Linked DNA regions of Lepisosteus oculatus. The protein of the gene in region 1 purifies or fractionates together with the protein of each later gene. This does not show direct contact. Links are inferred from orthologs where the notes say so. Each region holds a gene or a part of one and is shown on either strand. Other genes may lie near its edges.

Evidence for each region.
Region 2: the proteins of upf1 (region 1) and rbm8a purify together in Homo sapiens (co-immunoprecipitation; 7 studies listed by BioGRID and IntAct, with this or other methods). This does not show direct contact. The link is inferred for Lepisosteus oculatus from reciprocal best matches to the Homo sapiens genes UPF1 and RBM8A.
Region 3: the proteins of upf1 (region 1) and xrn1 purify together in Homo sapiens (affinity purification with western blotting; 4 studies listed by BioGRID and IntAct, with this or other methods). This does not show direct contact. The link is inferred for Lepisosteus oculatus from reciprocal best matches to the Homo sapiens genes UPF1 and XRN1.
Region 4: the proteins of upf1 (region 1) and casc3 purify together in Homo sapiens (co-immunoprecipitation; 5 studies listed by BioGRID and IntAct, with this or other methods). This does not show direct contact. The link is inferred for Lepisosteus oculatus from reciprocal best matches to the Homo sapiens genes UPF1 and CASC3.

Annotation. Positions count from the first base shown.
Region 1 is NC_090724.1:3,883,642-3,891,345, forward strand, and holds the start of upf1 (regulator of nonsense transcripts 1), read left to right. Parts: upstream 1-4,685; 5' UTR 4,686-4,935; coding exon 4,936-5,106; intron 5,107-6,624; coding exon 6,625-6,767; intron 6,768-7,144; coding exon 7,145-7,234; intron 7,235-7,689; coding exon 7,690-7,704. UniProt on the Homo sapiens protein: RNA-dependent helicase required for nonsense-mediated decay (NMD) of aberrant mRNAs containing premature stop codons and modulates the expression level of normal mRNAs.
Region 2 is NC_090722.1:2,288,684-2,295,896, forward strand, and holds the start of rbm8a (RNA-binding protein 8A), read left to right. Parts: upstream 1-4,199; 5' UTR 4,200-4,238; coding exon 4,239-4,305; intron 4,306-5,450; coding exon 5,451-5,510; intron 5,511-7,213.
Region 3 is NC_090708.1:15,747,977-15,755,195, forward strand, and holds the start of xrn1 (5'-3' exoribonuclease 1), read left to right. Parts: upstream 1-4,207; 5' UTR 4,208-4,513; coding exon 4,514-4,588; intron 4,589-5,253; coding exon 5,254-5,486; intron 5,487-5,588; coding exon 5,589-5,686; intron 5,687-5,795; coding exon 5,796-5,905; intron 5,906-6,037; coding exon 6,038-6,148; intron 6,149-6,513; coding exon 6,514-6,599; intron 6,600-6,687; coding exon 6,688-6,775; intron 6,776-7,219. Other genes in the region: serine/threonine-protein kinase ATR, read left to right, coding at 1-133, 993-1,149, 1,248-1,401, 2,027-2,178, 2,279-2,384, 2,601-2,774. UniProt on the Homo sapiens protein: Major 5'-3' exoribonuclease involved in mRNA decay. Required for the 5'-3'-processing of the G4 tetraplex-containing DNA and RNA substrates. The kinetic of hydrolysis is faster for G4 RNA tetraplex than for G4 DNA tetraplex and monomeric RNA tetraplex.
Region 4 is NC_090723.1:9,611,398-9,618,994, forward strand, and holds the start of casc3 (protein CASC3), read left to right. Parts: upstream 1-4,576; 5' UTR 4,577-4,590; coding exon 4,591-4,887; intron 4,888-7,583; coding exon 7,584-7,597. UniProt on the Homo sapiens protein: Required for pre-mRNA splicing as component of the spliceosome. Core component of the splicing-dependent multiprotein exon junction complex (EJC) deposited at splice junctions on mRNAs.

The DNA.
Region 1 (7,704 bases):
CAGATTCTTAATTTGACCATGGAGAGCAACTGTTGTGATGCATCTGAAGACTGTGATATTGACTGTGCTGTTAATACCTTAAACTAGCTTGAACTGTGCTGTCTTCATTGTTGAGCCAAGGTCTTGCACTTGCATCTTTGTGGATGATTACACTTAATTTATAGCTCCCCCTTGTGGAATTGTACCTTTATTGCGGCGATAGTCTATCATAAACCCCTTATACTAGAAAACTTCTGAACATTTCGTTTTCAATGGCATCAAATCATTAATCGGTCAGCTGGATTTTGTATATTTGATATTGTTTCCATCAATGTTCTTTTGAAAGCCTGTCCACCTTTTCTGAGCAGGATTGCAATCATGAAAATCCAAGCTTGCAAGACACTATTTCTTCCTTGGATACAAACGTGGCCATCAAAATGAACTGCTGCCGCAGTTTACAGACATTTTGAATTCCGGATTGTATGAATACAAGCTTTATGCACTGTGCGTCACTTATAAATTAGTCCATTATAGCAGCTCTACATTTCGGCAATAGTATTGTCTAAAGAAAATGTGGATTTGGGGTGACTGGCATCAATCAGGATTAAGACCACTGGTCTGTGATAGGTATTGTCACTTCATTTTAAATTAAAGTTCATTTTGATTGGCTCTTGATTGCATGCAGAAACCATGCCTGTCACACACCCGATCCCTACTTTTAGCTTCTCATCAATAAACAAGGAAATTCAGCCAAATGAAATCTTGTGACCTGTACACCTGCTCTTTGCTCTTGAAGATGGTTTAGTATTTGTAGAACTGGATCTGTATTAGCAGTGCATTACGGTAATGACTTATTTTATTCGGATGGAAACAAGTCACTTGTGAGACGAACTGTCCCATGGTGAAAATTTTCCTTTTTTCTTTTTCCGTTCATCCTTGACCGCAAACTCCATTTCTGCCACTGTGTAATTACCAAGATCTTAAAAAGAGCCTAGCAGAAGCAGTTTCTAGAATTGCAGATGATGCAGAAAGAGTAGTGGGTTTGTAAAGGAGAACCATGTTGATCAGAGAATGAGGGAGTGACTGGAGGAGGGGGGTGTGGTTGTGGAAGGAAGGTTGTCACTGCCTGTGTGTTCTGTGGTGAGAGTTGCCTCTTCCTACAGGATGGTGTAAAAAGACAAATAGTTAAACTGCCTTGGGTGTAAAGAAAAAATGCCTACTTTACGTGATGAAGAACTTGGTGTCATGGGACCCCGAGTGTCAATTAAGCATGCATCAGTAAAGGATGTCTCTTGTTAACAGTGCCTTTTTAAACCAAAACATAATCTGGGGTGTTGGAAAGGGCTGTCCATGCTACTTAACACCAGTGTTACCTTAGTCAAAATCTGAGTGTCCTCAACATCAGGCCCAATTAAAAGCTCTTTCCAGTATATACTGTACCTACCTCTGTCATAATGCTCCCTTCTTTGAAATGATTTTTTTTGTGTGCTCTATATTTTAATGTGGCATCTAGATTTATATCCAATTCCACTGTAAGGAAGTATATTTTTCCCATTATTTGGTATCGGACTTTTAAGCCGAATCTTGTCTTTGTAAGTGACATCAAAATAGAAAATATGACAAAACTGGGCATGTTGGGCCCCTGTAGTGAAGAAAAATTAATAAACTCTTTATTCTCCAGTCTCTTTGCTTTGTCTTGTGCTGTTCCAAACCTGCTTCAGTATGTTACCCCCACTGTTTCTGAAAAATGTAACCCTGTCAACCATAAAACTGGGTAAATCTAAGGGACGTTACATTTAATTCATTATAGTATTTACAATTGCCAAGTCTCTTGACACTTTCAAAATATATTGTACTTGTAAGACAATTTATGTATAAATCACAGCCACATTAGCAGTCACCTAGAAGTTCAAATCCTTAATAAATACAATAATCCCTTGGGACTGACTGCTGAGAAAGTGTTTACACCAAAAGTTTTAATCAAATGCAGGATGGAAGCTACAAATTGGACATATAAAATGCATTGCTTTCATACTGGGGGACACGACCTAATCAAGCACACACTTGGGTGACGTGGTACCTATTCTGCACCAGCAGCCCCACTGCACATTAGATCAGGTAGACATGGAAAGTTGAATCCACTAAGCACAATTTAGAGATGACAATAGAATTTAGTACATTAGTTTAAACATCTACTTGCAAACAGTGGCATGGGATGTTTTCATGACTCAATAGTCAGGACCTCAGTTTCAGGTCTAAAGGACAAGCTCTTCCAGTCTCAAACATCTGTGATAGCGATTGGTAGACAAGGAAACGGGATGTGAATCTGACCACCTACAGCACTATAAAATAAGGTTGGGTGTTCTTGTGGTCCTTGTTAAAATCCAGCAAAGTGGACCTAACAGCTCTGAGTTACAAAGGTGGAACAGGTCACCAAAAAACCTTTGAATCTGTACGGAGACCCGCGACGGCATGTTGGTGAGCACCGATCTATAAAAAGATCGGTGTGTGAGCTGGAGAGTTAAATTGAATGATGTGGCACAAACCTATGATTTGCCAGAGAAAGAATGAAAGACAAAGACCCAGGCCGTAGGAGCGAGCGTTCTTGGGTGTAAAACCATTGGCCGCAGAAGGTCAGAGGTCTGGGTAGAGAAGCTGGAAGATTACAACCTTGTTGATTTATCTACATTACAAAACCATGCTTTAGCAGGAGTTTGGGTAAACAAGTTATGTAAGCCTCAGGAAGCTTGTGTTCTGTGGCTGTTGTGCGGAGGCAGTCATCTCTCCGAGAGACCCTGGGGGTGTGAGCCAGATCAACCACATCTACGGCAGCTGCGGCGAATACAGACGAAGATTTTCCACATCCCCATGAAGGAGTTACCTTCCTCATAGCTACTCTTGTCCTGCAGACTTCACTTGTCTAACTCGGCTCTCCTGTCTGTCCCCCAGGCCTGTCTACACTCTATGGGTGACGGGGCCTTCTCCTGCTCCGCCCCAGAGCTCTGGAACTCCATCCCTAAGGATATCAGAGTCACCTTGCTTGGGGGTCTTTTACATCTAGACTCAAGCCCTTCTTTTTAAAAAGGGTTTTGACTTAACTGGTGTCTGCCCCCTTGCTTTCCTACTGTATTCCATCCCCCCTTCCACTATCTCCTCTCCAACTGTATTGTTTTGTTGTTGGTTCTGTGAAGAACTTGTGGACGAGACACTTTTAAAAGTGTCTATATAAAAATAGTTTATTTGACTTGTATGCTCCAATCAGCGTGCTGCTGCTCTATGTAAGTGCTCTGTCAACGTCTCTTTCTCCCCATGCTCGCGGCTATTTCCTTCTTGCACTTTCCTGGAACTCAAAAAGAAAATCCCAACAAAGGTGAAATCCAGTGATGGCCTATTAGTTAAGTTTGCGGGAAACGTGTGGAGTTACAGCTATAGGCCACAGGACTGTGAAATGAGCACATTTAGCAAATGTGGAAAATGCATCTGAGACCATTGCTGTATGTGCAGCTAGCTGTAAAGACTGTTTCTAGGTGTTTCCATGAAAAACAAAATTTCTATTTTAATAATGAGACGTTCTCTAAACCTGCGTCGACGAACGTAGTTGCTAAGCGACCACTGTTTTTTTGCATTAAATAGCAAGTTATTTCCAAACATTCTACCTAAAGTTATTATTAGACCTAGATTCGATTACTTTGTTGAGCTGGTGCTTTAACGCAGGGCGGTTTGCTTTCCAAGCAGCCAATGAACTGGTCAAAAATGGAGTTTTCTGAGTGGTACAAACTAATTTAACGATCAGACTTTATTACAATCACAAGAAAAGCCATAGAAATATAATTACAATTGTAGAGTGTACTGTAAGTACGTTGTACATTAACTGAAGAAAAGTGAAAATAACAAAACTCGTTTCTGGGAAGATATTCAGACAGTGCTGTACCGTCTGAAAGTGGTGTTTGATGATCCGATAGCAGAGCCAACCTCGTGCTGGCGCTCAAATACTGTTGGTGGAACCCAGTCATTAAATACTGCGTTTTTTAATGCAATAAAATTGTTAAATCTGATTTAATGCTCAGCACAATTATTGGACGTACCGTATCGTGTTGCACTGTCTTGCAACAACCGAGTCTATTAAATCGTTTATCACAAATTCGGTAGTTTTGTTCAAGGGTATGAACGTCCATATAACCCCTTAAATTTATGAGCAATGGATGACGTGATCGTACACAGTGTATGCCACATTAACGAAAAAAGACCAGTCTTTGCATTTATATTGCCTTTAGACAGGATATCTTTAATACGAAATCTCCCTTTTAACGCTCCACACGGAGTAGCACAGTTTAGTAATACTCCGAGACATGTTTACCTGAAACAATATTAGGTAGTCCAAGATTAGTGGTATTAGAGGTCTGTGAAACCACTGCTTGTGATTGAGCAAAGAGCCATAAGACGGTTTTCCAGTAAAAGTATAGTCCCATTGCAGCTATACGGTCAGCTAAAGTCTCAAGTTCGGTATTTTCCTTCGGTGTTTTCCTTACATTTCAAGATCAAAATAAATCAAAATAAAAAAAGGCTTCGACGGTTGTGTATAACTTGAAAAATACGACATTTCCAAAGTTTACATCACGTTTAAGGATAGCGCCCCTTGACACACACACACCACAGTACTGCAGACGTCATCGGTCTTGGTGCAGCTTTGTGCGCATGACGTTGCGCTTCTCTGTGTAGTTGGGTATTTCGTCACGGGTTGGTGTGGGAGTTGGGAGCTCTCTCGAGCTGTGTGTGTTACTGTTTAATTTTCTGGTTCGGTTCGATTTCCGTTTACTTTCAAAGCCAGCGCGCCGCCGGGACGACACGCGTTGAGTACTGGAGAAAAACAGAGAAATAAAACTCGCCGGGGCCGGACTTTCCTGCGGTTTTTTCTTTCCCCACCTCCTTGTAAATCCGCCGGTGCTCTGAGGAGAAATGAGCGTGGAGGCGTACGGGCCGAGCTCACAGACTCTAACCTTCCTGGACACGGAGGAAGCCGAGCTGCTGGGAGCCGATACCCAGGGCTCGGAGTTCGAGTTTACCGACTTCACGCTGCCCAGCCAGACCCAAACGCAAGGACAGACCCAGAGTCAGCTGGACAACCAGGTTCGTGTGCCCGTCACACCATTACAGCTCACATTTTCGCCGAGCAGACCTCCGGCGTGCTGTTACAAAGCTACCCAGCTGAGGTAAAAGTGAAGTAGGCCCGCGTTACTTGCAGAGTCCGGGGACGTTTCCTGACTTGAGTAGCCGGCGTCGAGGAGCCGTTCCGTAGCCGCGGGCTCTCGGTTCGCTCGCTGGAGGTCTCCTTTTTTTTCCGATGGGGGAGAAACCGGTGAGCTGCCACCTTCCCGTCGGAGCACGAAAAACGCGGATTTGGCGAGAGTTTGGGTCGGGCCCGTAGTCTTTACCTGCTTCGTGTCCTCGGCGAGTGAAATTCCTCTGCCCTAGGTACTCGTGTCAGCCGGCAGCATCGCTGAAACTATTCCTACCGCAGCCCGGCAACATTTTTACGAGGAAAATTGAGCCCGAACTGACGTAGCGCGCAGTAAATTCAAAGAAATGGACCTTCACGCCGAAAAGTTGCGTGTGTCGGGTCTGTCTTTTTTGTATCAATGCCGTGTAGTCTAAGGGAGACCAACCCGGAAAAGAGGGGTTTTCGTCGGCGTGAAATCGCTCAGCATTTGTTGGGAGAAATCGCCACCTTGCCTTCACCCGGCCAGCGTGGCGAAGTTCTTAGTAGTTTTTTTTTTAAAGTTCGCCCTTTTTGCACCAAAAACGTGTCACTGAAACTTGCCGTGACGGGTTGATGTGAAACTGATAGTTTGGGAGGAGGTTACGCTAAGGGATAAAATGGTGCTGCACTTCACGGCCTGTCATTTCTACAGTTTTCTCCCCCCCCAGCAAGCGATTAATATCCGATATTAGCGGACAGGTTTGTGTCGTGTTGTGTGCGATCGCGCCCTTTTTATTTCTGTGAAGGTTGTGATGTCCCTTTTATTTCCTGTTGAATTGACCTGAAAGTGAATTCCCAGCAGCTATGACTGACAGAGTTAAGCTGTTTGAACTTGGGCTTTTCGGCAATTTGAATCTGGTTTGTTGGGTTGGCAGCCGTTAAAGAACACCAATTAATCGGGATAAAAAGCTGCTAAAAACTGAAGTATTTGCTGGGGCAGATTCGCCCGCTTTGTTATTAAACTTTCTTGTTTTCCTTGTTTCACATGGTGCCTTACTTGTCAGAATTGATCTTGGGAACAGATTTTATTAACTGATCTCAGATTGGGAGGACCGTACATCCTATATTTTTTTCTTCTAAAATTCCCTTTTTGCAACGTATTGAATGCAGTGTTTAATTTATTGCACTGTATTTTATTGATTGGACTAGTGATGTTAAGGGGATTGGGAGTGAACTTGTAATATATTTATAAAATGTGAGAAAACAGTACTAAAGGAGTATTTTACTTTATGTATGATTTCTGGTTAGGTTAGGGTTGGTCACCTGAAAGCCTTATAATTCTTTTTCATTTCGTAGTCTGTACTGCTTTTCCCAAAGTGTCGTCTTTATTGTCCATTTTTAAAGTCAGATTGCAAGAAACGCTGTTCTCCAACTTGTATGTCTTATAGGTGAATGGCCCTGATGGAGTTTTGCAGAATGGAGCTGTGGATGATGCTGTAGCAAAAACCAGCCAGCTGCTTGCTGAACTGAACTTTGAGGAAGATGAAGAGGACACCTATTACACCAAGGACCTCCCAGCCCACGCCTGCAGGTACAGGACACCAGGGGGATTTGGACTGGGCATGCTTTGCGGTTAATGCCTACTGGTGTCTGTGCAGTTGTTTGTTTTTTATTTGAATATCTTCGTTTCATTATTTTTGAAAAATGTTAAATATGCATGTTTTCTAAAATACTGTTTCTTTTGACTTCTTGTTGGGGATGGTGGTTATGTTGGGTGATTGTGTTGAATTGTAATGCAACACTTATTTCCCCTCGGGGATGAGAGAGTTTGAGAGCCTCTAGTACCGTTTTTCTTCAATACCTCCTACTGCTATGTTTGTTTTGTTGCTACTTGGTGTGTTTTGACAGCGCATGTTGCAGTAGGTGAGAAAACAAAATGTGCTTATCTTGTTAATTTCTATTTTCAAGCTACTGTGGAATTCATGATCCAGCATGTGTGGTCTACTGCAACACCAGTAAGAAATGGTTCTGTAATGGACGTGGGAATACCTCTGGCAGGTGTGTGCAACAGTTAGAAATGAAGTAGTACAGAAAAACAGCATTATTCCTGTTTCAGATTCCCTTTTCATGTTACATTTTAACCTAGTAATATTTTAATGTGAAGGATAAAGTTGGACTATTGTTGTAAATTGCTGAAGAAAGTTTTATTCTTTTGATATAACACAATATACATGTTTTATGGTAGCTGAAATGAAGATGTTCATTTAATTGTGTATAACAGCTGATTCTTGTAGATTGTTTTACTCAAAAATACTCATCAATTATGGTGAGAACAGGATTATAAGAAGATTAAATGTAACAGTGTTCAATTACACTACCAAGTCAGATTCTCTTCTTTTTGAAAGAAAGATATTAAGCTTGCATTTTGAATCTCTTATTCTATTGGTTTGTGTAGCAGTTTCCTGAAGTACAGTTGTTTCAGTAACAGCTGCTGTGCATCTTTTCTTTTTCAGCCACATTGTGAACCA
Region 2 (7,213 bases), on another chromosome or scaffold:
AATCCAAAATGCTTCCCCTTCTAAACGAGCAGTATTGGCAGGAAATTTCTCAGCCTGATCAAGATCGACGAATCGCCTGACGTGTGGGGGAACTGCACTGCTCGAGTGGCTGGTGTGTACAGGTCATCAGGTGACGCCCACCGGACACCTGAGTTAGTGGCCGCAACCTTGGTTTCAGTGCAGTGCAGACTCATCACCTGGCCGGCAAGTGCACACCTTTTTCTGAGGTTACAGTGATTTAGATTCTGTTAGGAGGGCGTTATTAGCTCTCTGATTAACGCTGTGGTGCTCAATATCTAAATAGGTGGGGAAGAGATCTCCTCTGATTCGTCTGCATCAGAGGGTGGATCAATTTTGCCATGCCTGTACAGCCTGTGCTGCAGAAGGTTAGAGGGGTAGTCTGTCTGCTTTTAATTCAGCCCTTCTGGGTAATATTCCCGTCCTGGGTTCTCAAGAAGATCTACAGTATGTGTCTGTCATAGGTCCTCTCTTTGATAACTAGAGATAACTAGGACTGTCTGCGTTACTGTTAATGTTACATTACTTCAGTGCATATGTGTTGTGTTGTTTTCCTGTGCTGTACTGGAGGAAGGCTTAGCTGCTCACCACAGAGCTAGGTTACCGGTGTGGGTGTGGGCTTGTTCTGCCTTTTTAAATTGTCTGAAAGGGGATTGCTTTGGCTTCTGCTGGCAGCCCAAGGGAGGGGCCTTTTGAGAACCCTAATCAATTGTTTCTATTTCTGTTCTGATTGTCTCACAAGTGTTAGACTGTGTACAAGACCAGAACATTCTCTCTTATGGTATGGCATGCCTTTCAACGAGTCTCCAGCTTATTTTAAATACTCAAATTCTAATGTAATTTTCTTGCCTGTGAAGGGTTTAAATTCTTGATCCGTACAGCTTGTTCAGCAAAACATTAAATGTATTTACTGTTGATAAGAGCGAGGGCCTGCACACACAAAGAAGGCTTGTTTTAAGAATCCCAAAGAATTGTTTTTGTGTAGAAGGCCAATTGTAACTACCTGCTTTTAGAAAACACTGATATAGCTCAGTTACGTAGACATCTTATGATTAAAGTAGAATTTTGCTTAACCAATAGAAATTAAGACTGAAGTTTTTTTTTTCTTGTTGAGACTTAAGCTCTTTGTCTTCCTTATCAAGTAAGTGTACAAAAGGTCAGCTGTACCTTTTCTTGTTAAACTCATCCTCCTACTGTAATTGCAGGGAGGGTGCTTCTCTTCAGCTGAATACACAGTAAACTCCTCTTCTGCTTGAGGAAAAGGTTTCCAGTGGATTTGTACTCTACACCTGGAATTAACATGGTTTGAACAGTCCTTATAAACGTTAGTGGTCACAATATTTGTCGTGCAGAAATGAAGCAGATATTGCCATGATACATTAATTCCACCTGAGGCATTAGATTTAGCTAATTCATAAAAATTGTTAATAAACCATGAGATTCACAAATTCTGTTATGTTGTGTAGTGTCAAAAAAATGACAAAGTTCAGGTGCCTGTGAAGCAGAAGTCTCTTTATTCATATGCATTTGGAAGTCTGGCTTGCAACCACCAGACTTAAAAAATAAGTAGCTGAAGATGGTCCTTTATACCTTAAAACAAAAAGAGTTACTATGACACATTCTAAACAAATGATGAAAAAGCAACACCTGCCAATTAATTATATCTAAGTTGCAGACTAGACAACAGTTAGTTCTTTTCATATTATGGGCGTACAGCCATCTTACCAAATACATGCCCCTTATCTTACTGACCAAGGACAGGCAGCATCTTTATATACATTTGAGCACAAAGCCTACGTCAAGCCACTAAACTGCATAGTTTGCAAAAAACATACAAAAACACAAAAATGATATGAATTATCTCACTTCCCGGGCATCTCTCTTATCTCTTCATTCTTCAGTTGTAACTCTCAGTTTACGGTTCTAGACGAGGGGGTTGATGAGGAAGAGGTGCATTTTTGAAAACTACTATCTTTAATAAAAAAAATCTTGTTTGCTTCGGTTTATACTACACTTTACTATTTGTCCCATAATACTCTATGTATTTACCAAAACTGTAAATCTATAGATCTAAGATTACATTACAGATACAGTAGATCTCAGATTAGATAACAACCTAATTATTGGCACCAACATGAACACTGTTGTAAAATCTGCTCTTGATATGCAGTGCAGACAGCTGGGAACTGAGTTCACAAAATCTACACGCTACATCCTCTGCTTTCATCTGATCTACAGTAGTTGAGCTTGACAGTTGATAAATACTTACCACCTCTGCCAGAAATGTTATGTTTAACCCTACATAGGTCTTTCTCTAGGACTGATGTTTGATCATATTCATATCTCTGTTCTCTCAACTGAAGGATGTTAGTAATCATCTAACATCATAATGCAGTAACCACACTTTTTTGCCAACATCCCAACAGAACAGAAAATGCTACTTCACCAATACTCAGTTGCAGAATTAAGCATTTCATCATCCACTTCAATCCAAAATGTATTGATTCCTTACTTTAATAGTGCATTTTACAGGGTGTGATAAAGGTTTTATTAGAAAGACTAACACTTTGTCCAACTCCAATCATAATAAATCCATATTGAGCAAAATTAAAGACTTAGAAACTATTTAAGCTTTCCTTGAGCACTCTAGAAAAGGCACTTTCTTTCTGAGGAAGTATGGAACGCCAGCTGGAAATTACAGAAAGACCACGATGGCTTAATCAGCCAGGATGCGGTTTCTTGTTCAAAGAGCTAAATAGCAGTATTAGATTTTATCATTCAAAATCTTGAAGCTTTAAGGCAATGCAATAATTGAAATCTCAAACACAAATTTCACTGTGAATTCTGTTCTTTTTAACCAGTTAGTTTAAAGTCTTAAGCTGGTCTCTCAGAAAGTTACTTTAGAACATTATTTAGTAAATACAGTAACTGCAATGTCAGGACTTGTTGGCTTCTGCCACACAAATCCTGTATCCCAGCACATTCGTCTCTTCCAGAACTGATCACTGCAGTGCTCTGCTCGCTGGGCCTCCTGCTCCCCATCTCGCAACCTTCATCCGTCTGGCTCTGGTCTGCTCAAACTTGTTGAAACTGGGGGTGACAGGCCTTCTCCTGCTGCGCCCCAGAGCTCTGGAGCTCTATACCCAAGGATACCAGAGTCACATTCTCTGCATTCTGCATTTCAGTTAAAAATCCTTGATTTGCCAGCAGCCATATCACCCTGCAACTCACAACTGGCAGCCCACTGAAGCTAAGCAGGTGTGAGCCTGCTCAGTACCTGGATGGGAGACCTCCTGGGAAAAACTAAGGTTGCTGCTGGAAGAGGTGTTAGTGGGGCCAGCAGGGGGCGCTCACCCTGTAGTCCACGTGGGTCCTAATGCCCCAGTATAGTGATGGGGACACTATACTGTAAACAGGTGCCGTCCTTCGGATGAGACGTAAAACCGAGGTCCTGACTCTCTGTGGTCATTAAAAATCCCAGGGCGTTTCTCGAAAAGAGTAGGGGTGTAACCCCGGCGTCCTGGCCAAATTTCCCATTGGCCTTAACCAATCATGGCCTCCTAATAATCCCCATCTATGAATTGGCTTCATCACTCTCTGCTCTCCTCCCCACTAATAGCTGATGTGTGGTGAGCGTTCTGGCGCACTATGGCTGCCGTCGCATCATCCAGGTGGGGCTGCACACTGGTGGTGGTGGATGGGAGACCCCATTACCTGTAAAGCGCTTTGAGTGGAGTGTCCAGAAAAGCGCTATATAAGTGTAAGTGTAAGCAATTATTATTATTATTATTATTAAGTTTTGCCAATTTTGTCACGTCTTCTCCTTGTAAACTTTTTTTTTACTGTAAAGTTCTTTGGGAAGTTAATTTTAAAGGTGCCATGTAATTAAGGTTTTTATTATTATTATTATTATTATTATTATTAAACCCTTGTGTGAGAAAAGGCAAAAATGATCCTTTTAAATTACTTTTAAGTTGGTATTTTTTAATTTCATAACTTATATGCGTGATAAAACATTTTTAATCTTCACTTATAAAAATAAACACATTTAAACCAACGGCACACCGTCTTTTGTTCCGTCGACGTTTGACCTCACGCGTGGGGTTAACAGACCTCCTCAAAATGGCCGCAGACTCGCCTCTCCGCGATTTCTTCCGTTGGCGGTTAAAGAAGGTGACGCGTTTCCGGTCTCGCACGTCTTTCCACACACGGCAGAGAAGATGGCGGACGTCCTGGACTTACATGAAGCTGGCGGCGAGGATTTTCCTATGGATGAGGATGGTGATGGTAAAATTTAATATACCTTTCCGCGGACCACAGAGTAGTTTAAAATAAGAGCAGTCGGTTCGTCTTTTTTTCTTAGGTATAGCCCGCTGTAAACGTTATTTTTCGGCAAAAGATAGTTCAGCAGTGTACAAATGAGCCACACTGTTTGTCTGGATCTGGTTTGGTTTGAATGTAATTTTGTAGTTATTCGCTTATGGGTGACCGGGGGTGCAACTATATTTATTAACGGCCCTTATAATCATTTTTGTTCGCGGTTTTGCTGTATCTCTGCCCTCCCTTATTTCCTACACACGCAGTGTAATTTTCGCTGTCGGCTTGTAGGGCGGTCTATAAGCTCTGCTTGGGTTCTGTGGAGGTGCTGAGGTTCAGCCATTGCGGCTGTTAAAATATTTACCTTTGCTCATCGTCCAGAGCGGAATACGCTTGCCAGGCCGCAGGGAGGCGGGCGTGGGAGCCGCAGGGGAGGCCCGGGTTTGACTCGGGCCTGGGCGCCATCGGGGTGCAGGGTCTTGTTTAACAGGGTCTGCCATCTGGGGTCCGACTCGGACCCCGTCTTTCCCACACGGTTCACCCACAGTCCTCTGATCAAACTGGATTCCATTAACGATGCAGAATTGCTGATGCCGCGGGGGGAGAGGGGGGTGGGGATTGCTGTAACCACGATCAATACAGCCGATCGGCGTCGTGAAGAAGGGTTAACGATGAGGGGATCACTTGTTCTGTGTTGTTCCAGAGAATAACTGTCCGAGAATGTAACGTTGGCTATTTGGTATAGAATTAAATTATATAGAATAAAATCATCTGCTTTTTAGTTGAACCAGTTGTGTGCATGGTATGCTATGATAGCACTGTTGCTGTTGTCTTTGTCCATGTCAGTTTACAATCAGAGAAGCTTAAAAAGATACAGTCTTGAATGGGCAAAGTGTGTCATTCCCAATTAGATCAAATAAATCATAGCATATCAGAATCGACAATGACCATATCAAATTCAACAGTAGCACAATGGGAACACACTTTGTGCTAGCCTCAAAAAGTAACATTTTGTCAATGAATGGAGAGCAAAAAGACATCTTCTGTTTTGACCTCTTTATAGATGTGTTCAACGCGGGAAAAACTAATGCCCACTGTACTGTCTTCTTTTTCAGAAAGCATCCATAAGTTAAAGGAAAAGGCAAAGAAGAGAAAAGGCAGAGGGTTCGGATCAGGTGAGTCCGTGTTGTGGAAGCATGTTGGCAGCTGTACAGATGGATTTCTAGGCTGAGCTGGAAATGAGAGCTTCTGGCTGTTTTGTCATTGGTGATTAAATGAGTAACCTGGAGAAGTTACTTTTAAAGGTGCTGTATAACAAAGTAGGGCTGGGCGATATGGCCAAAAACATTATCTCAATCAAAATTTTCATATCAGTCGATATAGATAATTATCACGATGAATCTCAAATAATTATTTCTTTCAAGTTTAAAGGCAGATTTTTTCTCCTGAGTGAAAGTTGAAGGAACAGTTAATTGGAAAATTAAACGACTCTTTATTTTATGAACACAACAAACACTTGCCAAACAGCAGAAACATTAAACAGATGAATAGAGAGTATTCAAGTCTTTTTTATGTAAAAATATACATGAGTAAAATGTACAAAATAAATATCTTAATAGAAAAATTAAATACTGCAGTGTGATAAAACACACATAGAAGATGGTTCAGACAGACTGCAAAGTTTAAAGTGCTCTGTTTTATGTCTGATCGTAAAAAGCCAAAAAATCTCCAAATTACTGAAGTTGAATGACCTTTTCTGTCGACGATGTCATCGTCCTTCGAGCTGGTCATTAGCAGCACTACATTTGCTTCAGTGTCGCTCATTTCTCCACTCTAACTACAATCCTGTCAGCCACCACCGTGTGGATAAACAGCACGTTAGCAGCCCGGTCTGCAACACGCATGCGCAAAGCATAAACATATATATCGAACATTTATCAAACTTTTGTTAAAATTATATCGAGGAAAATTATATCGCGATAATTATCGTTATCGAGTTATCGCCCAGCCCTATAACAAAGTTCATTATTATCAGGGGAAAATGTTGATGTGGAAAATAAATATGTTCTTGAACTTTAAGTTCACTATTAGCCAGTGAAATACAGCCTGGAATTTTGTTTTTCATGATTTTCCAATGGAATACAATCTTGAGGTGTCCACCTTGACCATTGCTACTAGATCTCTAGGTCTTAACAGGCTTATTGAGGAGCTAAAGAGAACAAGAAAACCCGGAGGGCCTGGGACATGTAGGACCGGACTGGAGCCTCCTTCTTGTTTGATCACACGGCTCCAGCACATTGAAGCATGTTTAGCAACAATCCCAGCTCCTAATGAAGGTGTACAGGAATGATTGTATTTGGAGCACCCGTTTTGCAGGAAAAGCTGGTGGTTGTGGCAGTCGATCTGACAAGCAATTCAGCTCTCTTGTAGATATTCAGATTCATATATTTTTGTACAATTGTAGATCTAAATTAAGACCTCTAAAAAAGAGACCTTTACAAATTTGATGTGCCAATTGCTTCTTTTTATAAAAGTGTATTGCCAAGATGGATGGTGATTATGTTGCCATACTGCATTAAATACATGGAAAATAAAGATTACAACTGCTAAATGCCTGTTTTCAGCAAGTCGGGTGCATTACTAACATAAGTTTAATTGTTTTACTAGTTTTCTATCAAAATGACTGCTCATTAGGCTTTTTTAATTACTGAAGTACAGTCTTTATCTATTCTTCAAGCATATGGAGTGTAGGAGCGATAAACTGAGTCCTGTATCATGCTTTTCCATCTTGCTAGGAATTTTTTCTCACTGCATTAATTGTAGTTAATTAATTAATTGTACACTAGCCTAATGTAATGATTTGATGTCCCGACTTTGA
Region 3 (7,219 bases), on another chromosome or scaffold:
GAGTCCAGGAGGAGAGAGCTGCACATCAGGACCTATGCTGTCATCCCCTTGAACGAGGAATGTGGGATTATTGAGTGGGTGAACAATACAGCAGGGCTGAGGCACATCCTCAACAAATTGTACAAAGAAAAAGGTGCATGTCATTCATTTCTAAACTGTTGCAATTTGAAATTTGAATCATATGAAAAGCTGTTGTTTGCTGAAGAAGTCAGTATTCATAAGAAGGCAGTAAATATACAGTACACCTACAAATAAAGTAGTTGTTATTTGTGGATGTACACAAACTTAAATTAAATTCACTAAAGTTTATTCACTAATTGTCTATTAGTGGTATTAAACAAGGACAAAAACAAGCGCAAAAAGTCTAAATCAAAAGGCATTAGTGAGGACGTGCTCAGTCATGTGTTATTTCAGAAGTAATGCAAATCAAAAGTGATGCTTAAATTTAGATTGTGGAAACTGACACATACTGTAAGTGATTTAAAATAAATGTAGACTATAATTGTGCCAATTCATGGAATACACTTATAATTTCAGAAGTCAGTTTGCATCAAAAACCTGTACATAACACTGTGATGTTTGTTTATATGATTAGATCTGTGTAACATAACACTATTTTAAAAAGTCATGCTATTACATGGTGCATGGTTAGATGGTTGCATATTTACATTGTTATATAGTTAGATGGGACTAAATGGGAAGAGAAAATATTTGATTCTGAAGCTAGAATTGAAAAAAAGGCATTTGGGTGTATCAGGAAAATTATCTCATTTTAAACATTTTTAAAGGGGAAATTCTGAAATATGTATTGAGAAGAGAAACTAATGAGTAAACCACCATTGACATTTAGACTTGAAAATCTTTATGGTCTTCATATTATGACATACTGTATTTTGCAGTTTATTAGTACCCATGTGAATGATGATAGACTTTCACCTTAACTTATTTTCTTCTTTCTCACTTAAATATTTTAATGATCTGCTTTTCCTCAGGCATTTACTTAAGTGGAAAGGAGTTACGCAAGTACATGTTGCCAAAATCTGCCCCCTTTATGGAAAAATTGAAACTGCACAAAAATGTTCTCGTTCCCCGACACCCTCCAGTCTTTTATGAGTGGTTCCTTAGAACGTTCCCTGATCCTACTTCATGGTTTGTACCATTCCATCTGTTTAAATTGTTCAAACAATTTGAGGGAAACCGTATCACTTTAATGTAACGCAAGTTCCTGGAACGGTGTCTCGTTACAGGTACAGCAGTAGATCTGCATATTGCCGCTCCATTGCTGTGATGTCAATGGTGGGCTACATCCTGGGACTTGGGGATCGACATGGAGAAAACATCCTGTTTGACTCTTTAACAGGAGAATGTGTGCATGTGGACTTCAACTGTCTCTTTAATAAGGTGTGTGCGCATATTACCTCAGGTGTGTTTTTATCATATACCCACCCAATCTGGCACCTGCCTTGTAAGACTTGGCTCATGACTTCAACCTCTGAATGCTGCACAGACAAAAATAAGGGAATTGCTTTTAAAATGGAGTGGATACGCTAGACATCTGCAACAAACTACCCAGATGGGCTGTCAAAGATAGTACCGAAGTTTCTTTCACCAAAACATCCTCAAACCCCCTAGTGATAGAAAACCAACCTAGCTATATGGTCTCCCCTCATTTGTGAAGTATGTTCCAATTGGAATTCTGTTACAATCAAGTGGTGACACCTGAGCCATATTCCTCTATTCTTAAATCCTTCAAAGGCCTTAAAGACAAACTTTTGTCCTTTGCATAGGTTTGTTATAAAGGTTTTTAAGGTGTTATTAAGCCCAGTTTCTTTCAGCAAATATATTTCAGGGAATAATTTATATTCTTTGTTTCAATCTGATTTACTGCTAATGTTGCTTGTCCTTATTGGGAGGTTGGGAACCCCTATACAATAAGGAAAAAAGGAATGACATCAATGAATAACCGTGTTTTAGGTGCTCATTTTGTGCATGCAGGGAATTTTGAGCCTTTTCTTTTCCGTGATAGGGTGAAACATTTGAAGTCCCAGAAGTAGTGCCTTTCCGACTGACACAGAATATGGTTCACGCCATGGGCCCCATGGGAACTGAGGGTCTGTTCCGCCAAGCCTGTGAGGTCACCCTCCGACTAATGCGGGATCAGAGGGAGCCGTTAATGAGGTAGGAACCTCCTCCCTCTGTGGGTTTACACACATTGAGTAATCTCCATTCATGAAGTACAGTGTTTGAACTTTGTGCTCGTTTCTTTCCAACTTCTTAGTGTCTTGAAGACCTTCCTTCATGATCCGTTGGTGGAGTGGAGTAAACCTGTTAAGGGAGGTACAAAAGCCCACGTCAATGAATCCGGAGAAATCCTTAATGAAAAGGTATGCCGTTTCACAGACAACTGTGATGTGATGTTGTATTCTGAATTCCTGTTTCAAGCCAGGGTGAATGAATTTGACAGGTGTCAAACGCAATCACTGAATTGTCTATTGTATTTCCTGTACACAGCAATACCTGAACTTTCTCTGACAGAATTGTCGAGTGGTAGCATCTTGGAAATACCTGCACTGTTGACATTTGCTCTTTGTTTTCTGTAGGCGAAGACCCATGTCCTTGATATAGAGCAGAGGCTGCAGGGGGTTATCAAGAACAGGAACAAGGTGATGGGTTTGCCTCTATCCATTGAAGGCCATGTTCACTACCTCATCGATGAAGCCACAAATGAGAAACTGCTTTGTCTCATGTACCTGGGCTGGGCTCCCTACCTGTGACCATGTTTGGTGTCTCAAATAAGCACTTATTATTCAGGGCAAATTCATTCCTCACTTTCTTTTATTAAAAACATTTATGTTTCTACTGGCGTGTTCATTTCTTTGCGGTGTTCAAATCTGTTTGGAAATTATTGACATTATTTCTGTTATGTAAATTCACGTGTTACATTATAACCACAATAATAAAAGAGTTCTATAAAAATTTTCAAAGCACCTCCCTTAATTTCAGATCTGATTTCTTAACTAAGATCTTTAGCTCTTTCTTTTGAAGTATTGTCTGGGTTTGAGACATACTGTAGCTCAGAGAGACATTGAAAAATCTCAACAAGTTGTAAACACTGTCTTGGATTCTTGTGGTGAACTTCTTGAGAGATGTACATGTTTAAAAAATCTTTTAGCAGAAAAGTAACATTATCTTTTGATTTTATTTACTGAAAACCTGTTCTTTTTTAAATTAGTGTAATCTAGTGCTCCACACAAATTACCAAAACTTTCTTATAACAATAGTCCCTCCAAAGCCTTCCTGAATGAATTTCCCCCTCATCACTTTTTGAAGGACTTCATGAAATATCCCGTATCTCCTGGATAAGTTCTGTTATTATACAGACACGACGTTTGACTAAGTGCAGTTTAATTCTGGCCTTCTTATTCCAGTTATGTAACAGATTTTCTATTCTCCAGTGAAGGTCGAAAAATGAAATACTACAAAGGCATCTTAAATGTTTATCTCAAAATGCATTTCTAAGATGTTACTATTGTTACTATAATTTTAATTTAACAGGAACATTCTCTAAAAAATCATTCAACTGACATCCGCGTTCCTTTAACAGAAACACTAAAACGTTACCATTCAACTGACATCCACTTTGTTGAACATGGCAAAACTTCAATCACGAAAAATACAGTTAATAAATCGCTAATCACTCGGCATCGTTGTGTTGAACTGGTGCGGGCAAAATACTAGCCCAATTGGTCAAAGTATGTGTAATAAAGTTCACTTTCAGTAAACCGAACAGTATCACACAGTCTTTTTGACGAGATGGCGAGGTTGAGCCGTCTTTTCCGGAATAGTGCAGGTGTTGCCCTTTGTCATTCTAACACCCGAATTCTAAGGGGTTCTAGATTTTATCCTCTGTTGAATGCCTTACTTTACCCCATCGTCTGACACGCATCAGCAGTTTTATTTGTCCTAATGTGGACAATCCTAGCCACTGTATTGTCGTCTGCGGTTTTAAGGACTGTTAATCCACCGTGTTTGATTAAATATGACCTTAATATTTATTTTATTTAGCACTGGTTTTATTACTTTTATTTATTATTCCTCCGCCGCCGCAGATTTAACAATCTCACAACGGCAGTAATTGACAGTTTTAAAGTCCATAGGAACCTTTACTGTGAGTCGAAGCAGTCCGGGACTGATTATTTGTCGGACAAATAATAAGAAAGGGAAACAATTTAACGTTTGAACAAAAAGCTCTTGCTTTATTTAATCTTGGCGAAAGATTAGGAAAAAAATGAAATTTCGTTACAAGTCTTTTAGTGGAAATTGATGAATTGTTATTTTAGCATTGTACTGTATCCATATCAGTCTTACGTCACAGCAATTTCGAATTGACCGTCCGCACTTCCCCGCTGGCATAGAAGCAAAAATAAAAACTGGCCTCCGTAGGAATATAAACTTTTACTGCAACACTGCAATTCATTTTTTTTTAATCTCTCGGGACGAGGTTGTGGTAAGGATGGGTGTACCGAAATTTTACCGATGGATTTCGGAGAGATACCCTTGTTTGAGTGAAGTTGTTAAGGAACATCAGGTAAGAATATATAGGCCTTACGAGTTACACCATACAACCCTTCCTTCTGATTCTGATTTAATTGCATAGCTCTGTCTGTTTATTTTTTCTATAAAATAATTGAGCTTCAGTATGAGTTTTCATTTTCTGTTTAGTTTAGACCGCATAAATGACTGTTGTCATTAAGAAGCAATTGTTTTTTAAAGTTGTTTTATGAGCGGAAACATCTGCAATTGAATACAGTAGATACAATAAATATAAGACATTTTGGTTTTAGTATCTCCCTGACAACAGCAGTTTTACTTGATTTGTAAAAACATGCTCAATATGTAATTTTGTCCTGTTGCTGCGAACAGAACCAGTAATAATCCTCATAGTTGCATTTGTAGTCAATACATCTAAACGATATTCTTATCTCTTTCTCTCGTTACAGAGGTCGCCTTTTCTATGTATTTATTATTTTTAGCTTCTATCCAGGGCGGCTAACACGTTGGTTTATTTTGCTTTGGGAAATATTGTAAATTAGTTTTTATATTTAAAGCTTCATTTAAGAGCGCACTCTCGTAGACTTTACAGCCGAAACAGCGACATTGTTGCAGTTCACTTTGAGGCGCAGGCGACCGACTTAATGTTGCTTTATTGCCCGGTAGAGGCTAAAGGCAGTCTGTTTCTGTCCCTTGCTTCAGATTCCTGAATTTGACAACCTGTACTTGGACATGAATGGCATTATTCATCAGTGCTCCCACCCCAATGATGAAGACGTGCACTTCCGAATCTCAGAAGAGAAAATATTTGCCGACATTTTTCACTATCTGGAAGTGCTGTTTCGTATCATTAAGCCGAGAAAGGTCTTCTTCATGGCCGTGGATGGAGTGGCTCCTCGCGCAAAAATGAACCAACAGCGCGGAAGGCGCTTTAGGTAACAACACGGTTTGTTTCGTGTACCACGGATTCAAAGGTAGTCTGTCTGGGAGGTTGATACTTTATGGGCAGTGTTTTTATTTTTTTGTTTTATTTGAAGGTCAGCAAAAGAAGCTGAAGATAAAATTAAGAAGGCCCTAGAGAAAGGAGAAGTTCTTCCTACAGAGGCTAGATTTGACTCCAACTGCATTACTCCAGGTAGCTACTACACAGCTGGGGCTATGTTGACACCTCGCTCATCTTTTGCCTTGTTTTCTGACATGTTTGTACTGTACCCCTCAAATGCCTTTTCTCTTTTTTTTTTTAGGAACAGAATTTATGGCCAGACTCCAGGAGCAGCTGGAGTATTTTGTGCATAACAAAATATCCACAGAAAAATCATGGCAGAGGGTGCGAGTTTACCTCTCCGGTCATGAGGTATATAATTAAATAGAGAAACAGAGTAATTCGATACGTGATGTGATTTATGTTCCGGTGTACCTCTGCAGTCTCGAGAGTTTTCCATGCTAGGTATTATGATCACAAATCTGCTATTTATTTACTGTACAGACCCCTGGAGAAGGAGAACACAAAATCATGGAATTCATTCGGTCAGAAAATGCCAGGCCAGACCATGACCCCAATACCAGGCACTGTCTTTATGGTTTGGATGCTGATCTGGTATGTATTTTTTAGTTTGAAAAATGCATGCATTTTCATTTGATTGTACATGACTTTTAAGCATTTAAAGGTGTTGCCTTTAAAAAAAATTGAACTACGGGATTGAACAACTTTCGTTATAAAAGTGCTTATTAAATAATTTTAGGATGCTAATAAAACTATCATGAGTACCTTTAGTTGTCACTAAACCTCCCTCATTAACAGACTGAGATTGTAGTATAAGGTCTTCCCAAAATGTAAACCTAAGAGCTGTTATGAAATGTCAGAGCAAAATAATTATAAATGTTTCCAGTAGAATTAAAGTAACTTTTTCTTACCTGCTGGCTAAATATTTATACCATTTTCTTTTTCCTTCTTCCATGTAGATAATGCTTGGGTTGACAAGCCATGAACCTCACTTCTCTCTTTTGAGAGAAGAAGTTCGTTTTGGTGGTAAAAAGTCACAGAAAAGGCAAGTGCATAAGTCAGTGCCATTTAATATTTGAATTTCATGTTGCTCCTTCTCTTTTTGACACTTATGCGTGTTTTGTTTTATATAGAATAAGTACACCTGAAGAGACAACATTTCACTTGTTGCACTTGTCCCTGATGAGAGAGTACATCGACTATGAATTTTCAGAGCTGCGGGTAAGTAATAATAAACTCATTATTTTCACCTTGGAAATATACACAGTATATTATTTTAAAATATTGGTTGCTCGTTGTGATGCATTTCCATAGCATATTTAGAAGAGCTTCATTTATTTTTTTTATTTGAAACTGGAATTGCAAAAGTTTATTTAAGGATATCTTTGACAGCAGTCTTGCCACTCTGTATTCTGGTCTCATAAGTATGGAGGGTAAACAAGGCAGGGTCTAAATCCATCCATTTGGCCAGAATATTCCAAACCAGTTTACAATTATATTGATCAGTTGTCCTTTTGATGAGACGTTAAACCAAAGTCCTGGCTACTTTAAATAAAATCCCATGGCACTGTTCACAGGGGTGAGTCGTTTACTCCAGTCTGGCCTACCTGAAGGCCTCCATTTAATTTAACTGGTGAAGTAATTTCTTAATTCCTCAACTGGTCT
Region 4 (7,597 bases), on another chromosome or scaffold:
CCCTGGTCACTAGTTTTTGGAGAGGAGCCCTGCTGATTCCCCTGTGCCTGGTTGGCACACAATCTCCTACAGTTCCCTGCGTCTGAGCATCTGAAGTGCAGTGTTCAGTGAAATATTACCCACCCAAGCCTATTAAGGGACTAGAAATAATAGTACTTATAGAATGTTGAATCGTACTTGAGCCATGTGCTGTTTGTTTCCCAGATACAGTTCTAACTGCATGGCCCTGGAATTCCAGAGATATGATCTTCCTGCCCCTTACCATGCTCCAGCTTTTAATGACTTGGTTTAATTGGTCTGGATCAGTCCTTAGCTGTTGAATTTGGGGTTTAAAACTAAATTCCAGACTGGATTACACAGTGGGTTTCTTAATTGGAGAAATGCAGTGCTTTTCACTGGGCCTATAAATCTCTATAGGGACTGTGCTTAGAATGAATTGGATGTCTTAAGGCTGTGTGACAAGAGTTCAGCAAAGAGGTGCTGGTATTTCATCCCCCGAGGAAGTTGAGCTGATTGTGAAAGGAGGGTTTTCATTTGAACTGTGACAGGAGCTCAGTCTGACACGATGCACGCAGCTGCCTGATTGGCTGATGGTGTCGTAATGCGCCTGGATGGCTGTGGTTCTCCTGGCTGCCGTGACACTAGGGGGCAGCAGCGCTGTCGCCCCGTTTCCTCTGTTCGAGTGTCGGCTATCCTGAGTCTCAGAACAGCTCCCTTCAAAGCCTGGGGGGACGGGACCGTCTTGTACACCCCCAGACCTACCGGGCAAAACCTGTGGGTTTATCTGCGTTTCTCTATGCACAATTAAGCCCCCCGGAAAAGACATCCTATCCAAATGGGTTGAATTAAGTAACTGGCGTCGGAGGTGGAATGAATACCAGGGGTCCCACTGCAGCTGGTGCCTGGACCTCCCGGGTGAACCTGGATGAACAGGCTGGCCCACCCTTTCCGAGGCTCATCGGCGTCCTCTCTTGACCAGGAGAAGGTAAAAACGTTTCGAGCTCAGCAAAGTCTTGGGGAGCTGTAGCCCGTTTGATTTGAGCTTCAAGTGGCTTCATTTGAAGGAGCTGCCATGTTTCCCCATTTCTCTGTTCACTGGAAATATAGGAATTTCCTAAGGCATTGGGATGGTGGTGGTCCAGCACTGGATCTCGCGGTTCAGGACCCCGGAGGTCCTTGTGTCCTCGCTGTCCCAAGCCCCCGCCGGTGTCCAGTGGGAGTTCCTCGGAGCGCTGCCCCTTGTTTCAAGCGCAGGAGTGGTGCTTTACCCTGATTGTTGAAAAGCATAAGAGACGCATGCTGTAAAAATAAACTGTACAAAGAGGAAAACTAGTCTAAAAGTGGGTTCATATAGCTGTTCCTCTGTCCCTCTGGAGGAGGGGAGAGGGGGTTTGCTCTGTTTTCCCTCTTTAAATGTTCATCTTCTGCATGTTCCTCAGTTGGAGGTATTTTAATCCCTTTGCTGTTTTTGTTAAAATTTTGGGGATTGTATTTCTTACCCTTTTTATTGTTAGTTTTACGTCCTGTCAGGTTCTGTGTAAAGATGCTCTTACAGCTGAGCTCTGTCCGCCTGGTCAGCTGGCCCTCGCGTCCAGTGCCCACAACCTGCCCACCCCTTGAGCTCCTTGCTTGTTAAACACTTGCAGTACAGAGCCAGGATCTGTGTGCTGTACATTGTGTGGGGTTGCACGTTTCCAGCAGCATTTGCTGTTAGTGAGGAGCACGACTGTGTCGATCTCTTATTTCGAGCTGGAATACCCTAGCTGTACATGATGAAAAACTTCTGCCCCCCTGGCCTCTCAGGTTAAGATTCCAGAGTCAGCTCCTCACATCCCTGACGCCTGTGTGATCCCAAGGCTACCTGGTCAGGTGATGACTGGTTTTCTTCAGGAATGCCGGAATACAAACAGAAATGCAAGACGAGACGCTGTCGGTGCTGCAGGGGGGCTGCGTCGCTTGCAGGGGTGTCCAGCTGACCGGCAGCGAGGTCAGAGGTCAGTGGGGTCCGTTTTGTTTTGGGCGGTTTGTGCCCTGTGTTTTTTTTCCCCGCTTCTTCTTCGCCTGCAGAATTGATCGCATCTCGCCAGTCCCCTCTGTGCTGGTCGTGCACGTTCAGGCGCAACACAACAAAAATGAGAGTATTTCTTTCAGCCTCGCCTCTGTCTTTCACCCCGTTTTTGTGTTGATGTTGGAATTCTGCTCTTCCCAGTTGTTGATCTCATGCCGTCCTCTCCCAGCCAGTTCCAAGGGTAAGCCTCATGGTGGGCCCCCGTGTGGAGCGGCTGGTCAAGGCACTTGTCTGAGCACGGGTTCGAGCCTGGGTCATGTCACTGACCCCCTGCTGAGGGTGGTGGTGGGGGCAGTTAGAACTCTCGCAGTGCTTGACAACACAGCGCCCCCTGTGGCCTCCTGGGCTCCCTGCAGGCAGGAGGAGGCATCAGGGAGGGGCGCTCCCCTCCTGTTGGGCCCTGGGCTACTGGTAGTGACTGGGCAAAAGGTGTAAAAAAAAAAATCTGATGGCCTCTTCCACTTTGGGAAGGAGTAACGAAAATAAGTGACGATTTACTATTAAAAAGCAAGCCTGCCATAGAATAGAACAAGGACCGTGATCAGCCTGTGCTTCAGACCTTGTTTGGAATGGGTTACGGAGGCTGGGATGTCGACCGGTTCCCTCGGCTCCTCGTGCGAGTTCCACGGCGCTGAGAAACCTGCCAGTCTCAGCCCTGTGTCGAGGCAGCCGTGATCAGAAGGCCCCGAGACGCGCGTCTCTTTCTCTCTGTGGTCGTCCCCGCTTCCTGTTGCGTCTCTGTCCTCTTCTGGTTCCGTTTCTCCTCCCCAGCGGGAGACGACAAAATCCCAAACTGTATATTTGACCGCCTCTGTACATAGCTTTCAGAAACACACACAAGGTGTAAATAAGCACGACGTGGCTGTTATTTTTATTTAAAGTTCAACTTCACTCTTGAGTGTTAACGTTCAGTATTGGTATTCTAAAAAAAAAAACATGCTTCAGTGTGAAAAAGTTGACAAAGTGGAATTGTTTTTCAATAAAATTCACAAACTCGAGTGAATGCCATGTTTTATTTGGAGGGGATGGGATATTTATGCTTTGCCTTCTCCCTCTCGGAGTTAGTAAAGGAACGGGCCACTGGTTGCACTGCATTTATTTTTGGTGTTTCTAAGAAATGGGACCTGGTTTCCCCCCAAATCGCCGTGAGATTCAGCTCTTTTGGTAGGAATCTTACACGTGTAACAGTGTGTTATAGAACAAGTAGAGGATAATTCCGCCCTTAAAAATGCAGTGTTTCGGGTGTGTCCTGTCAGGAGTCAGGCAACAGGATTAGGATATAGAGTGAAATCTGTACATGTCAAGTCTAGGCAAGTAAAAGCTCTTGGTAACACTTCATCTGGAATATGCTTATGTGTAAATAAAATGAAGACTGATAAAGCACATACTGCAGGTTTGCAAAGAGACTGTTCCACCCATCTAATGTTATTTGTTGGTAGCTAATTAAACTGAGGACCAAAGTCCAGCCATTTCTCAAAATAAAACAATGGGGCGTGCAGCTTGTTTCCTGCTTCTGCCACCCTTCATGTACAGAAGCCTCCTTATAAGTCGTCCAAGAGGGACTGCTTCAGGACCAGCAGTGAGAAAAGGACCCGAGGCCACAAGTGACAAAATGAAGGCAGTAGTGAATTGAGGATTGAAAACGGGAAGCCTGTCCTGTGTTAACAGGAAATAGTATAAATGATTCAGCAAATGGGGAAGGAGACATCCTGCTTTATTGATGCCATGCAGCCTTTCATCTCTTATTTTATGGATGGGTTTTTTTCCAGCATGAAAACTTTACACCTAAACTCAACAATCTGCACCTGATCGCGAGTTTCCGGAAAACCCTCGCGATTCCTGCGCAGAGCTCAGCAGTACCTAGTTCTTCCACCAGGTGGCAGGCGCCTACCGAAGTGGGGTCGAAGTGCTTCAGGCGCTTCTACCAGGTTATTGACCTGTTGACGTTTCTCATTGATCACTGTTGTTCATCTCTTCGAAAGACAAAGTCGAAGAACGCAGCCTGGTACATAAGTACCTTTTTAGTCGCAATAATCCCTCGAATTAATTAGAGAGACCGCGGTAGAGCCTCCTTGCTTTTGAAAGCACATCAACACGAGATTTCGAAGTCAGTACCCTGGGGGTTTGAAACTGGGCTCAGGTAAAATGACTACACCTTACTAACTGGAAAATGAAATCAACTTCATGCGAGAGATGTTTTTAAAAGATGAAATATGTTTCGGCAGCACAGCTGGGCAACTTGTTCTAGACTCACACAACTCTTTGTGTAAATTATATAACCAGCTGTAGGGGTTCTGTCGCGTAGTTTATTTTTTTTGTCATTTAGTTCGTGTTGCACTGCTGACTTTGAAGTACTCCACGTGGTGAACTAGTCAACGGTTTAAAAAAAAACCCCTATCATTTACTGCAAATCCGAAATAATTTAATACCCGACGGACAATCTGTAGTAGCAAACACTGCTTCAGTAAGTATTGCCTACACTTCCCATAAAGAGCTTTCGCGAGTCATGGCCGTGAGGGTTCATGGGAATTGTAGTGTTCCCGATGGCTTCGTTGCGCCTCCTCACGTGTGCTTGGCCTACGTTTCCCATAAGCCCTCGGGAGGCGCAAGTTTTCCCCTGTTCATTTCCCAAGATGGCGGACAGGCGGCGGCGGCGGAAGCGCGCGTCCCAGGACACCGAGGAAGAGGACGAGTCCGGTTCTGGCACCGAGAGCGGGAATTCGGGTCCAGCTGGAGGAAAGCCCCGGGCGAGGGCTCCCGAACCTGCGGTGCTGCCCAGCGTCCGGGTGCGGAAGAAGAGTGAGGACGAGTCGGAGTGTGTGAGTCTCTCGTCGCCGAACCCCCACCCCCCCCAACGCTTCTCGGCTTTGAGCTGGGGAGTTAAAAATGGGCTTCATCTGCTCGGCTCCTCTCAGGCCGCACGGCCTCGGGCTAGCGCTGCAGCAGCGCCCAGGAGGGAGGCCGTGGAGCCGCGGGTCCCTGCGGGGAGCCGGGCGGTCGGTGCGGGTTACACCGGGGCCGGGCGTTGAGCCCCACGGTCCGGCAGCTCCATACCGCTTGAGCAGCGGACGGTAGCCCCTGCCGACTGGAGGAAGCTACCAGCTGGATGCTGAGAGCAGATCGGAACCTCTCCCTTGTTGGTGGTCTGGGCTGGTGTGGGGAAAGGCAGGGGCGTGAATTCACCGTCCACTCGGTGCCCACGGACACGCGTCCTCTCCGCCCGGCCGCCCCGGAGCGCTTGTGGGGTTTGTACTCCAAGGGGTAGTGATGGGCTGTCTGGAGCAGATCGGATCCTCTGGAGCACAGAGCTCAAGGCCTGTGAATTTACAATCGCTTGACCAGGATTGTTTTATTTTCAGTTTCTTTTTGCCTATGGCACCCAGTTTCGTGAGCACGGGAGGTGCCGATGGGCTCCTCTATGTGAGCGGGGTCCTCAGAGCTGCTCTGCTGGGTGCCTAGTCTCCATACCTGAGCCACACGGGGCCAGAGCCCTTCTCTTCCCCCCAGTCTCCCTGGGCAGGAGAGAGCACGGGATCCCCCCACCGCCGACAGGACGCCAGTCCAGGGCAGGGGTCACCCCCAGCAGTGCTGCTCCCCACTTCACCAGCTGCTGGGGTACGACACCCCGCTCGGAGTACAACAGCAGCGTCTGCAGTGGAGACTCGAATCCCCAGGAGCTCAGACTGCTGCCCTCCGTGTCACACCTCCTGTGTCACAGCTGGCCGATGGCGGGGTCTCAAACGCAGTGGCCTGTTGACATCTGAAAACAGCGGGGTTGTGCAGAGACCTGCGCTTTATACACTGGTACCCCAAGTGCTCTTGGGTTCGTAAGTCTCTTAGCTTGACTCACAGAATCTTAAGACCCAAGAAATGCTTGATTCGTGAAAACATTTAACGCTAACGTTAAGCTGCTCTTAAGTCAGTGTTGAGATTCCAGAGTCCCTGACAGCCTGCAGGAGAGAGAGTTTTGGGGTCCAGGGGTGGGGATCACTAGCGGTGCTTTATTTCCACACCCTGCTAACGCACAGCAGCTCAGACGGGTTCTCGCCCCCCCCCCAGATCGAGCTTTAACAGCCGACGGTCGGGTTCTGCTGTGGCCCCTTTGCCCTCCTCCCTGCGTCCGAGCCTTCTGGCCCAGGAAACGTCTCCCCGGCACCAAGCTGGGGCTGCGGGAAAGAAACGCTAACCCATCGAGACCCTGTGGGCGGCGAGGTGGCTTGTGGCGTGCGAGTTACTGGCGTTGCTGGCGGCGTGTGTGATGTCCTGCGCCCCAGCAGAGATTTGAGAGTTGGGGAGCCCCAGTGAATCATCAAGTCTCCGAGTGTGTATGGTGCGATGCAAGTTGGGGGTCTTTCACCCCCCTTTTTTGCCGTCTGTTTCCATGAGTGGAATGTGCTGTGATGCCCCGGGTGTATATTGGGGGGCGGGGTCCGACCTGTTTCCCACATGTGCTGTCTGAGGTTGAGAGACGTGTTCTTCTAGGGCAAACCTTTCCCTAAAAATCCTAGGAAGCCTTTCTTTAGTTTCTTTCCTGGGAACGGTGGGCAGCTCCTGTACAGACTTCCTGGAAAATGGCGCTACTGGTGCTGTAGGCAGGGGCTACAGTCTGTGTGTCTGCTCAGCATGGTCGTTGCCTGAGCTCACACGTGTCCTGAATCTGTCACTATCAAGCTCTCACTGAGGGAGGAATGTGAAACTGAGGGAGGAATGTGAAACTGCTGTGCTTGAGTAACGTAAACAGCCTTTTCTGTTTCTAGTAGAATATTTTATCTTAAACAATACTGCCTTTCTGAAAATCTGGTAGAATAAATATTCAACAAACTTACCTGAAGAGAAATCATGAATATAGAGTGTTTTAAGCACACTAGTGCTATAGGAACAAATGGAACTGTGTTTTTTTTTTTAAGCTCATGTGCTTGACTCACAGTGATTTACGAAGTGTGTATCAAGAAAGAACAAGTAAAAATCATGAACACGTTTTTGAAATTCTTTTTGAAATAAGTCTGCTTTCTAGGGATCCTGGAAAATGTAGGAAGTGGTAACTCATTCCAAGGCATGGCATGGGTGTTGGAAAAGGAATTGTAGAATGTACACTGGGAAGGAAAATCCCTTCAGCTTTCTAATGGGGTTTATATGAACTGAATATCCAAGGATAATGTTTACTACAGGACTCCACTGTTGGATGGCCTAGTGTCCTTTTTTGTTCCAACCTGAGTAGTTAACCTTTCTTTTGGGTTTTTTCCTCAAACTATTGACTTCATTAAAAGATAGTTATTTATTAAACACGCCAGAGTCTGGGTTAGAAGTGTCACAATTATGAAATCAAATATTGGACCAGGTCTGTAACTGTGAGAAAATGAGCTGGGGTTCCCTTGCTAGAAAACTGTTAATTGCGGTTTAGCACTTACATTGCACTGCTGCTCTTATTATTACATCATTGAAAATAACGTGAGTCGGTTTTCTTGCGATAAGGTTTCCAACTAACACTTGTTTTTCTTCTCTCATCGTAATGCAGGAAAGCGAAGATGG